Nothobranchius furzeri: one gene and its partners. The main gene of each other region encodes a partner of the protein of the gene in region 2 in a complex. Links are inferred from orthologs where the notes say so. Each region holds a gene or a part of one and is shown on either strand. Other genes may lie near its edges.

Evidence for each region.
Region 1: the proteins of vps51 (region 2) and stx6 are in contact, whole or in part, in a crystal structure (PDB 4J2C), measured with the Homo sapiens proteins. The link is inferred for Nothobranchius furzeri from reciprocal best matches to the Homo sapiens genes VPS51 and STX6. Residues at the interface, in NP_037397.2 of Homo sapiens: Ala33, His34, Met36, Leu37, Leu39, Tyr40, Tyr41, Gly42, Leu43; in NP_005810.1 of Homo sapiens: Met3, Glu4, Asp5, Pro6, Phe7, Val9, Val10, Glu13, Trp59, Asp60, Asp63, Leu64, Glu66, Thr67, Ile70, Val71, Phe78, Arg88.
Region 3: vps51 (region 2) and vps52 share a complex: the UniProt entries of both Homo sapiens proteins name them as parts of the endosome-associated retrograde protein (EARP) complex. The link is inferred for Nothobranchius furzeri from reciprocal best matches to the Homo sapiens genes VPS51 and VPS52.

What each region holds. Positions count from the first base shown.
Region 1 is NC_091748.1:80,951,194-80,955,524, forward strand, and holds the start of stx6 (syntaxin-6), read right to left. Parts: upstream 2,850-4,331; 5' UTR 1,179-2,849; coding exon 1,144-1,178; intron 1-1,143. UniProt on the Homo sapiens protein: SNARE promoting movement of transport vesicles to target membranes. Targets endosomes to the trans-Golgi network, and may therefore function in retrograde trafficking.
Region 2 is NC_091750.1:53,409,335-53,413,563, reverse strand, and holds the start of vps51 (vacuolar protein sorting-associated protein 51 homolog), read right to left. Parts: upstream 2,839-4,229; 5' UTR 2,664-2,838; coding exon 2,478-2,663; intron 2,314-2,477; coding exon 2,184-2,313; intron 2,098-2,183; coding exon 1,951-2,097; intron 1,872-1,950; coding exon 1,652-1,871; intron 1,560-1,651; coding exon 665-1,559; intron 558-664; coding exon 342-557; intron 260-341; coding exon 176-259; intron 77-175; coding exon 1-76. UniProt on the Homo sapiens protein: Acts as a component of the GARP complex that is involved in retrograde transport from early and late endosomes to the trans-Golgi network (TGN).
Region 3 is NC_091759.1:11,210,073-11,213,660, reverse strand, and holds part of vps52 (vacuolar protein sorting-associated protein 52 homolog), read right to left. Parts: intron 2,614-3,588; coding exon 2,548-2,613; intron 2,316-2,547; coding exon 2,204-2,315; intron 886-2,203; coding exon 767-885; intron 1-766. UniProt on the Homo sapiens protein: Acts as a component of the GARP complex that is involved in retrograde transport from early and late endosomes to the trans-Golgi network (TGN).

The DNA of each region.
Region 1 (4,331 bases), on a different chromosome or scaffold from region 2:
TTGAACAAGTGAGTCTTCAGCTGCTTTTTAAAGGAGACCACTGAGTCCACTGATCTCAGGCTCAGGGGGAGAGAGGTCCAGAGTCTGGGGGCCACAGCAGCAGATGATCTGTCACCTTTGACCTTTAGCCTGGTGCTGCACAACCAGTAGGCTTTGATCACTGGACCTCAGGGACCTGCTGGGGGTGTAGGGACTAAGAAGATCACCAATGTAAGATGGTGCTTGTCCATGTAAGGCCCTATAGACCAGAACCAGGATCTTGAAATGAACCCTGAAGTTGACTGGCAGCCAGTGAAGCTGGAGGAGAAGCGGGGTGATGTGGGTGTGTTTGGAGGACTTGGTCAGAAGCCGAGCACAGGCGTTCTGAACCACCTGTAGACGGTTCAGGGAGGTTCTGCTCAGACACGTGAAAAGAGAGTTACAGTAGTCTAAGCGTGAGGAGATGAAGGTGTGGAGAACTGTCTCAAGTTCAGAGCGGGACAGAATGGGACTCAGCTTAGCAACGTTCCTGAGATGGAAGAAGGAAGAGCCAACAAGAGAACTGACATGAGAATCCAGGATGAGAGCTGGGTCAAAGGATCCACTGTTTTCCCTCTTTCCTGTTCATTTTCTCTCTCCATTTCCTAGCATTATTTTTCATCACCATTTTTCTCTCTCTCATTTTGAACATATTTTTAATCATCTCTGAAATCTTTTTTATGCCTTAATTCATTTTTTATTGGTGAAGTGCCTCGTAATTTTTATTTTGAGAGGTGCTTTTATAAAAGATTGTTTTCTTTCACTACATGTATTTCAGAAACCGCTGATCTGAGAGTGTCACACACAACCATCTCCAGGGTTTACAGAGAATGGTCTGAAAAAGGGAAAACACCCAGTGGGCAGCAGGTCTGTGGGTGAAAAGACATTTGAATACCATTCACTCATGATTTTTAAGCGAAAAACAACAAAGGCCTACCCCGCGTTGACCGTACTACATACTGTATACGCGCAGGGGAATTCTGATCGAGGGCTGGACAGACCAGCCAGAACGGAACCAGCCTTCTAGAGCTAACAGCTGCTGCCCACGGCACCGGAAAATAGTCGTGGCTCGAGCTTTATGCGGATGCTAGCTTTAGTTTAGTGCAGATAACCAATGCTTCTGACCCTTTAACGACGAAGAATGGATCTTCCATGGACATCTTTCCGCTTCGCGTTCAGTCCACTAACCAGATTCTTCAGTCTGGCTCTGCTGCGAGGGCTTTGTTCCGATTACAGCCCGGTTCTGGTCATCGCCTCGTCTCTCTGTGCTTTGTTTACATGTAGCAATGAAGCGTCAATTGGAATCGTAGCATGTTCAAGGAAGATCCCGTCTTTCTCGCCTTTGATTGGCTGCAAGGGCTCTCCGAAAGGCTGCAGACCCGGACCGCGTTATCACTTTACACCACAGACTGCACTAAGCGGTGGAAGACGGTTTGCTGCTAAATGGAAATAGCCAATCGTAGTAGAGACGTTCTAGCCAATCAGAGGCGAGAAAGGCAGGAACTTCCTGGGACATCCTACGATTCCAAATCACGTTAGCGGCAACCATTCCGTCACATCCGTGCAGGAAGTAAGTTTTATTTTTCAAAACTTTATTGAAAAATTAACAATTATAAAACAAAAACTCCATATTTAAACATAACTTAAAATAACAACACTATATAATCAAAAACACAACAAAGTATCTGTTAAAATATTCTTAAACCACTTTTATTTTAGTTTTCAATTTTGGCATTTTAAGTTACTGTTGGTAATAGAGATACAATACTCATTCAGATCAGGTTCTTTGAAATTATTAAATCATGGGGATTTTGTATGTAAATATTTAGCTAATATAATATTAAAAGTACATCTATTATATATACTTCATCAGTGGAAAAAATTAGCTGTAGAAACTTAGCCTAGCGAACTAGACCAAATTCTTGCTTTGCAAATAAATAATACATTTATTTAGTCTGGCTTGCCAGGCTAGTAGAAACTGTCATGTATTGGGAACGTGATGACGTAACGCAGGGGTGTCAAACTCAAACTCACACGGGGCCGAAATGAAACTCTGGGACGGAGTCAAGGGCCAAACTTAATATTTTTGAAAAAGTGATGGCAAATTTGCACATTTTCTTTATCAACATATATGCAATTTTGAACCTTTAAATTTGGAAACAAACATATTTCTGCATTAACACTGAATGTGGAATAACCAAATTACACACGAGCAAGTCGGTTTTAAATAAAAGGCATCAGTGGTATTCATTACTTGTGGTATAATCAGCATTTTTAAAATCTTTTCAGGATTTATGTTTTCTTGTTTATTCATTTTTCTTATTTTTTATTCTCCTTTTTTTCTCCTGTAATACGTGTCATCGCTGCTGTGACGTCTAGCTTTTCCCACTGAGGAACAATAAAGAGATTTTCTATTCTATTCATCTATCTGCAGCCTTTCCACTTCCTGTTTACTGTAGGTTAAATCTTTGCTCACGGGCAGGGCCGGCGTTAGGCCCGGCTACTTGGGCTGAAGCCCTGGATGTTTCATGATAAGCCCCGGATCTAAATCGTGGAAGTAACATGCAGTACCAAAGTCCAACAGAGAGGGAGCAGCTGGCAGTAGTTTGTATACAGCCTGCCTGAGCCTCCACCACTGAAGAAGAAGCCCTTCAGCAGCCGGCTTCTTCTACACTCTCTGCCTGAAACGCATGAGTGAAGATGGACATAAGGACGTTTTTAGACCAAAAGTACGGCGACAGAACCCCAGCTTTGATGAGACTGGTGTTGACTCAGGTTTGTGAGTCTTATTAGAAAATATTTGTTGTGCTGCTGGTTTGCCTAAAGTTAGCTTACTATCAGGTAAAGTTGTTGGAGAAAGAACGGGAATATTTACTATCATCTCACACTAAACACTAACAGGAACAATACTCTGCCCTGAAAATGCTTAATATGTAGCTTCAGATTAAAAATTATGTGGTACAAGACAAATATATATGATGTTGACTAGTGCGTGTCATGTGTGTGTGTGTGCACGCGTGCATGTGTGCGTTAAGCCCCGGATCTTCTTCAGTCCTAAATCCGCCCCTGCTCACGGGCCAACAACAAAATACAAATATCATTTAATCTTAAATGAAAATGCAACATCTCACCTGTTAACTTTCATGTTTTGGAGCAGAAAAAGAGCATAAAACCAACATATTTAAAGCTCAGTTTGCTCCACTGGTTTACTGTGATGCTCACCTGTTCCAGCCAGATACCTGCATCATGGGGTTGGTCTGAGCTGAGGAGGAGACTCCTGTTGTTTTGCTCATCTTCATCATAATAATGACAACATTAGATGACAACAGGTGCTCACATAGGTTTGTGCTGATGAACATGTCTGAGCAGCTTGAGCACGTTGTTGTGTGTCGGGGAGGAAACACGACCACAGAGTCGTGCTGGTTTGAGCGTGTCGCTGCTCGCTGGAGTTATATCGGCTCTGTCTGGACGTTAGTTGGAAAACTTCTCTTTCAGTCGTGAACACATTACTGAGCGGCTAGAATCTCCGTTTCTGGGCTTCAACGTCAGAAAACAGCTGAGTGAACTCGGCGCTGAGTGAGAGGAGTGTTTAGTTTGTCCGAGACAGCAGAGCTGCTGACACCGGCAGCAGGCGCTGGAAAAAACACAAAGGAGGGGGCGCGTCGGCTGCGCGCTGACGCCGCAAAGCATCATGGAAGTTGTAGTCTTTGCGGTAAAATCGGCCAGCGGGCCAGTTTTAATATATTTTTGATATTTATCTCGCGGGCCACATAAGAATGCTCCGCGGGCCTCATCTGGGGGGTGGGGTGGGGTGGGGGTGGGGGTTTGTTGCCTGTCTCCAGCAGTCAATGGGCAATCAGACGGGGTACACCCTTTACAGAGAGCCAGGCAACACAGAGACACTCACACATGCACAGGGAGAACATGCAAACCACGCAAAAAGATCCCAGGCTGGGAAGCGAACCCAGGACCTTCTCGCTGCAAGGAAACAGCTCTAACCACTGTGCCACTGAGCAGCCCCAATTCAGAATGTCCTATCTCATTAATAAAGTAAGATCGACACACACAACAATGGTGACGAGGATGACGGAGACGAGTGTTTGAAAACAGGACTTTTTTTTTTAAGTGGCGGAGTTGGACGCGAAAGTTGCGTTCACGATGGAGAAGACGGGGATCCAGCCATTTGCATGCTACACAGAACCTGCTACTCTCGGATCAAGATGGACGCGATAGCTGACGTTGTTCGAGTTGTATGCAGACGAGAAAGGTCTTATCATCGCCGACGGGACGTCTGATGTGATGGCGCAGCGGAG
Region 2 (4,229 bases):
GTGGCTCGATGGTGTTAACCCAGTCGCGCGTTTCAACACTCTTCCTTAACATCTGGGAGATGATCAGACCCTGAACCTGGACCAAACAAGACATATTATTACTAGGCACTCATAAGGCTCTAGACTCTAAACTGTTTTACTTGTTAATCATAAAAAGGAAAAGAAACAAACCCACCTTGACATAATGATTGAGTAGTTTCTGTGCCGCCTCTCTGGCTTCTGCGCACAAAGCTGTGACCGGTGTTATGGGACTGTGGTGCTGGAGGATAAAAACGAAACGTGAGCAGAACCATTCAGGACAGTAAAAAAGCACAGTGCTTTGGTTAATGGTGGTGTAAAACCTGCACAAGGAACTGTTCGTCTGTGAGTGTGAGGATGTAGGAGATGGTGGACGTTTCAAAGTCCAAACAGAGCCGGGACAGCAGCAACAGAAGGGCTGGAGGAGTGGAACCTCCTTTGTCTCCCGCGCTTTCACAAAAGTTGCGAGAGGACTGGCACACAAACTTGATGAAGCTCACCACCAGACTCTCGCGCACACCTTGGCTGCAGAATTCCCCCTGGGAGGAGGAGGAGAGAAAGAAAGAAAAATAGCAGCCACATCCACAAAAGTGCAGAATCAAGGCACAGAATTATCGAACCGGCTGGTTTAAAGGGGAACACTCACCTTGAAGTACGGCTTATTGGAGAACGTGATGTCCTTAGCTGTGAAGAGGTGAACCGACGCCAGCACCGACTTAATCTGGTTGAGAATAGAAGCTGACAAAGAAGAGAGCAGCTCTGGTAGGCTAGCTGGTGCATCTCTACCCGTGACAGGTCCACCTAGATGTGCTGCACCTCCAGCCACAGAGAGCCGAGGCGTCGCCAAGGCCTGTCTCACATCCGTCAGGCTGTCCATGTAGAAGTTCTGCAGGGCACACAGGTACTGCTTCACACGCTCTGTAGCTGCTCTTATGACAATTTCTGTCCCCCTGTTGGGCACCGCCGAGCCTGGCAGCAGTTTGGACACAGCCTGTAGCCTGCGGTGGAAGCGGTCGAGTGCACGGACCAGGAGGGAGTTATCACTAACCCCTTTCTCTTCCTGTATCCTCCTCTCAACGAGTGAGAAATACCGGGTGGTCAAATCATCCACAAAGGTGTGCAGCTTACCATTTGCCATCTGAAGGATGTTCTTTGAAGCTAGTTCCCCTGTCTGAGCATGGTTGATGAACAGTTCTTGATAGGATGTAATCACTAAACATAAGCTGCTCACAAATTCATTGCATCCTCTGTCTATGAACTCCAAGATGTCTGTGTTCAAGGTGGGAGACGACAGAGAGCTCATCTTAGGGGAGTTATCAGTCGGAGATCCAGAGGACATGTTACCTGAGGATCTGCGTGTAGATGCTTCTTTCTTTGAAGCTGGGTAGGGTTTTATCTCTGCTTCTAGGCTCTGGAGATCTAACTCGAGTCGAGACCGGGCATGGCTCAGGAATTTATCACAGAGCTCCTCTGCAGGCTCGTCCAATTGAAGGAGCAGCTCCACACACTCAGACAAATCTTTGGCACTCGTACCGCCATCCCTTTGTGCACAGGAGAAAAGAAAGCCAGAGATCTCATAGGCAGCTCTTTATAATTAAATCAGTTTTTTGCAAATGGGTTAGGAAATTGGCACCTGAATTTCTGTCGAAGCTCCTGAGCGAGCTTCTCCATGATGGCGTGACAGTCATCCTGAATTCCCTTGAAGGAGGGCAGATGGCTGTACTGCTGCAGCACGCAGCGTGCACGCCGGTGGAAGCTCACTGCCTGAGCATACGCCTGCAGCTCCAGACACTTGTTCAACCTCGCAGGCAGCTCAAACAGAAACTGAAGCTTCCTTAGCAGCATGTGGACCCCTAACATGGAACATGACGAGAGGAACAAGCATGAACAAAGTCTCTGAAGAACAATCCAAAAGACAATTTGCAGTCTAACCTGAGAGTTTGGTGATCTGTGCATGCTGATCTTGGAGCGTCCCGCTGATCCGAGCACTAAAGTCAGTGATTGCCGCCATGTTTGTAGACAGGCAGTCCATTTCGTCTTCCATCTTTTTGAAATCATTCTTCATCTTTCTTATGGTGTCTAGCAAAAATAAAATAAAAACATGATTGCACACATCCAGGTTATGACTGAAGCAGATGTGTGTGTGTGTGTGATGCTCCACTTACCTGTAGCAGATATGAATTTATTGTAGTTTTCATAGACCAGGGTCTGCATGTCGCTGTCCAAAGAGCGGATCTGCTTCACCATGCAGGTCTCTTGGTCCATCAACTCAGCAAGAGAGCACTCCTTTCTGAGCTGTAATAGGACACAGATCAGTCAAAGATCATTTATAACTCACATTCAGGATACAAAATAAAATAAAATCCCCAATGATCATATGGAATTCTTTAACTACAGCCACACAGACTATGTCTAAAACATGACAACACTTAAAGCCAACAGCTGATATCTCACAGCACCTTGTTAAGGTACAGCTCCGGGTCAAAATGCGGCCCGTTGATGTCGCAGGGATTCAGAGACTCCGGTTGCTCTGGGGCCTTTCCTTCTTCATTCAGCCCGTAGTAAAGCTTCAGCATGCCGTGCACCTTTCGCCTCCTCCCCGACTCCTCCGACATCGCCACTGAGCCGTCCGCGTCGACATCCATACTGAACTCCGGCCAGCTGACAAACGGAACAAGGACACAGGCGACAGCTTATATCTTCAATTATATCTTATGTCAGTTTAACTCCACTATCTGCACTAAATAACGAGTATTTGTGGCGTGAATATGCGAAAAATAAGACTATTTTTCTCTCAAATAAAAGCAGATGATTGTTAGCCTTATTTCCGCGTTTGTAGCCAATCCAAGGTAACGTTCTCCGAAAGTCAGCGTAATCGGTCGTGCAGTACTAATACGCATGCGCGACAGCAGTTCACTTCCGCTATGGTCTTTTTTCCCCGTTTGTACAGCTATTGTTCATCAAAACATTAAATATCAACATAAGTATTAAACAAAAAACACGAAATCTTTACTGAATTACACATAATAAAAAGATGAACAATTGTTACTAATATCGCTGATATTTGTGTTGTTTTTCTCTTTGCTGATCAGCGCTTTGAGGAAAAGGTATATTTTTGTTGTGATTTATATTATTTTCTCAGTGAAAAATTCAAAGCAATCAATACACATAATTTCAATCCCGCTCTTGCATTTGTTTGCACATTAATTGATCTATTGACATACTATAATTCATTTTATTTCAATCCACCATATACATACTACTTACAAACAACATAAAATGAACAAATGCATCTGATATAGGTGACAAAGTATTTCATTTAATGGTAAAATAAATCTACAAGTATGAGTGAACAAAACAAATACTGATGAAGGAAAAGTTGAGTCATGAAATCAGAATAACATTGAGGTTTGGCTTCATTATTCAGTACTTGGGCTTTAGGTAGTGGCGTAACAAACACATCATGAGGGGAAAATTTCTGGATTTTACTATCAAATACTTAAACAGCAGAAATGATAAGACTGCAATGCACTTTTTAACATCAGTAGAAATGGATAATGCATTAGTTAGTTAACTGTGTGGGAAATAAATAAAAAAAATACATTTTTGACCACATCCAAGTGAGTACAAACAAAAAGGCACTTTAACCTTCTGCAGAGTAGCAGCTTGAAAGGGCAGGGTTCTATTTGACCATACTCTTCACTGTTATATACACAAACAAGAAATATGTAGAGAGTAAAAATATTCTTTCAAAAGTTCATAATCAATATAAAACAGCCTGATGATGAAAAAAATGTGTGTTAGTATTAACAGTGCAACATCCTCTGTGTATCATGCTGGAATGCCTATTCTACAATGAGACATGCATAGTGTAGGTTAGCAACAACACACAGACCTGCTGCAGTTTACAGACAGTAGTTGGGCTTAAAGCATGGAAAAATAACATTCTGTTGTTTGTATAATGAGATGAACCAGGGAGATCCTGACGCTGATCAGACATGTAGAAGGGAGCATAACAGAGGTGTGATCTTCTCGTCACAATCGTTTACCGAGAGGAGCCAGATTAATAAACATCTGAGTTCAAAAAGTGAACAAATGCCTCTAAAGGTAACATTCCGACGCAGCAGGTTCGCTTTACCGTGGAGACTCAACAGCACGATGACCTGAGCTGTATGCATGGTTTCTGCCCAGTGAAAATGTCACCAACAAAA
Region 3 (3,588 bases), on a different chromosome or scaffold from region 2:
TTCAATAAAAACACTGAGACACTCTGCTGTAAAGTCTCATTATGAAATAAATCAGCCATGGGAAAAAACACTACTGTGAAATAAAAGCTGTTTTTGTTAAAAAGACGTTATGTAATAAAAACTGAATGAATTAAATAAAAATGGCTCAATATTAATTTGGATTATTATGAAAAAATGACTTGAAAAAAACTTTATATTAATAAAGACATTTTAAAAGAAGAATGAAAAATATTTCAGAATATTGAGCTTAGATTTTACATAACATTCTGTTATTTCATCATTTCATTGTCAGATTACATGATTGTCTAGTATTTCTTCACGTGGATATTTATTTCATAATGTCTTATTTATTTATTGAATTTTGAATACTTTTGAGTTCCACAGGTGAGAGGGGTTTCTATTCTAATTTTCCTTTAGTGATGTCACAAACCGGGACTTTTGGAAACAACTCATTTTAAGCATTTAATTCCCTTTCCTTTTGCATTTTTCATGTGGTAGTGTTTACAGAGGCAGTAGGGATCTACAAGGCAGCACAAAGGAATGAAAATGTGTTTCTAGTTTTTCTTTACATCCTCTGCTCAAAGTGATTTTGGTAACATTAAAGTTTATTTGTAGGAAATGTTTCAGGTTTTCAGGATATGATTCATTCTCTGAGATGATTTACACCGACGCTCCCGTTGTCATTATTCTGGGCTGGGCTTAGTTGCGCCAAAGAAAGCGCACGTGTGTGTGTGTGTGTGTGTAACACACCTGCTGACTAACTCACCTGTATGATGCTGGTTCCATTTTTGAAGTTGGTGAAAGATCTCATGACCTCTTGGCTCATCGACTCCACTGATTGTTTCCAAGTGCTTGAAAAGCCCCGGATGAGCTGGGTGATGCGAGCTGCACACACACACACGCACGCACGCACGCACGCACACGCACGCACACACACACACACACACACACACACACACACACACACACACACACACACACACACACACACACACACACACACACACACACACACACACACACACACACACACAGCATGGTTAACATCATGGCTGTGTTTTTCTGTTTCCTGTATAGTTTCACTCATTTCCTTAGACAGAATGTAGGATGTGGTCATATGAAGTGATTGTTTTGTGGCTTCGGACGTTCGAAAGAGAAACGATCAGGAACAATAAAACGCTTAGACAGGAAGTAGCTTTTTCTCTGTAAATCTGAGGCCTAGTCCACACGTAGCCGGGTTTTTAAAAAAACGAATATCCGCCCCTCCAAAAACTTGCATCCACACCACCTTGTTTAAAAAAACTCTGTCCACACGTACCCGGATAAATACGTTGTTAAGGACATGCCAGACCTGTAGGCGGCAGTACTTCCCCCGTTCTTAACCTCGTCCTTCGTCTGTGGTCTTCCACAAGGAGCAGTAATTCCGCTTGCAAAAACAAACAAGCAAAAAGCGCTTGGACAATTGATAAAGCGAGCGCAGCTCTGAGGGCATCCATGATGTCGGCTAGTGTAAACACAGGTCGCACACGTGATGTCAGCATTGTTTTGTCGTGGAAAGTGACGTTGCGGACCTTAAAACTCCGGTTTTGTCTGTCCACACGCAGACACCCAAAACGGAGAAAACGCAGATCTTCACTTTGGAGTTTTTAAAAAGATCCGTTTTCGAGTGAAAAAACTCAGTTTTCGTGTGGATGACAGGCCAAAACGTAGAAACATATCTACGTTTTGGCAGCTCCCCGGCTACGTGTGGACAGGGCCTAAACTGAACGGTAAAAAGAAAGCAGCCTGTATAGACGTTCATGTGATGCTTCCTGGTGTTTCTGGATAAACTAAAACTCAAGGAGGCTCTTTGTACCTTCATTAAAAGCATTTCTGAGATTTTTACCCAGAAAATAAAGTCATTTACAGAATCAAATCAAAGATACTTTATTAATCCCAGAGGGAAATTAGAGTTTCAGTACACACAGTTCAGAAGAATTGGTGACTGTTGTCATTCAGAAGAAGAAAAACTCTGACCAGGACAGTTTGTTGACTTTAACCGTTTCCTTCTGACAGTTTCAGAGCTTTTATCAGTTAAACAAACCAAAAAACCCAACATGACATTGTGTGCTTCTACGTTGGTCACCTTTCACCAGAACCAGAGAACAGACGATACTGAAAACACCGAAGCCCTCTAGGCATTATCTGTTAGTTTCTCTCTCACCTTCCTCGTTCTTCAGCCGGTCCAGCTGTCCTTTCTCCATCAGCGCCTCGGCTTCCTTCACAAAGGCAATCATCCCCCCAAAGGGAGGAGACAAAATCTCCTCAATAAACTCCTGAAGGGACAAAATTCAGGAAAAACAGAGAAAAATGCTTTAGATGTCAGGTTTTTGTTTTGTTTCACATTATACGTCAAAATGTTAGAATGGCATCATTTTAGTATTTGGATTTAAAAGAGAAATGGGGAAAAAAGGAAAGAATGAAAATGAAACCATCTAATTCTTAATAAAAATACAGAATAAATGACATGAAAACGTTTTGAAATAAGGGAGGTTACGTGTTAGCTACCTGAGTTCTGGCCAGGAGCAGCTGCTGGAAGCTTTCCACTTCTTTACTGTCATCTGCTGCCCTCTCCTGGACAAAAAAGAAAAAGCATCTGCAGCAGTCAAAACTTGTGCAGAATTTACAGGTGCTGGCCAGTAAATTAGAATATCATCAAAAGGTTGAAAATATTTCAGTAATTCCATTCAAAACGTGAAACTTGTACATTATATTCATGCAATGCACACAGACCAATGTATTTCCGATGTTTATTACGTTTAATTTTGATATTTATAGGTGACAACCAATGAAAACATCAAATCTGGTATCTCAGAAAATTAGAATATTCTAAAGGCCAATGAAAAAATGTTTGTTTCTCTAATGTTGGCCAACTGAAAAGAATGAACATGAAAAGAATGTGCATGTATAGCACTCAATACTTAGTCGGGGCTCCTTTTGCCTCAATAACTGCAGTAATGCGGCGTGGCATGGACTCGATCAGTCTGTGGCACTGCTCAGGTGTTATGAGAGCCCAGGTTGCTCTGATAGTCGTCTTCAGCTCCTCTGCATTGTTGGGTCTAGCGTATTGCATCCTCCGCTTCACAATACCCCATAGATTTTCTATGGGGTTAAGGTCAGGCGAGTTTGCTGGCCAATCAAGGACAGGGATACCATGGTCCTTGAACCAGGTGCTGGTGGTTTTGGCACTGTGTGCAGGTGCCAAGTCCTGTTGAAAGGTGAAGTCTGCATCCCCATAAAGTTGGTCAGCAGCAGGAAGCATGAAGTGCTCTAAAACTTCCTGGTAGACGGCTGCATTGACCCTGGACCTCAGGAAACAGAGTGGGCCAACACCGGCAGATGACATGGCACCCCACACCATCACTGACGGTGGAAACTTTACACTGGACCTCATGCAACGTGGATTCTGTGCTTCTCCGCTCTTCCTCCAGACTCTGGGTCCTTGATTTCCAAAGGAAATGCAGAACTTGCTTTCATCAGAAAACATAACTTTGGACCACTCAGCATCAGTCCAGTCCTTTTTGTCCTTGGCCCAGGCGAGACGCTTCT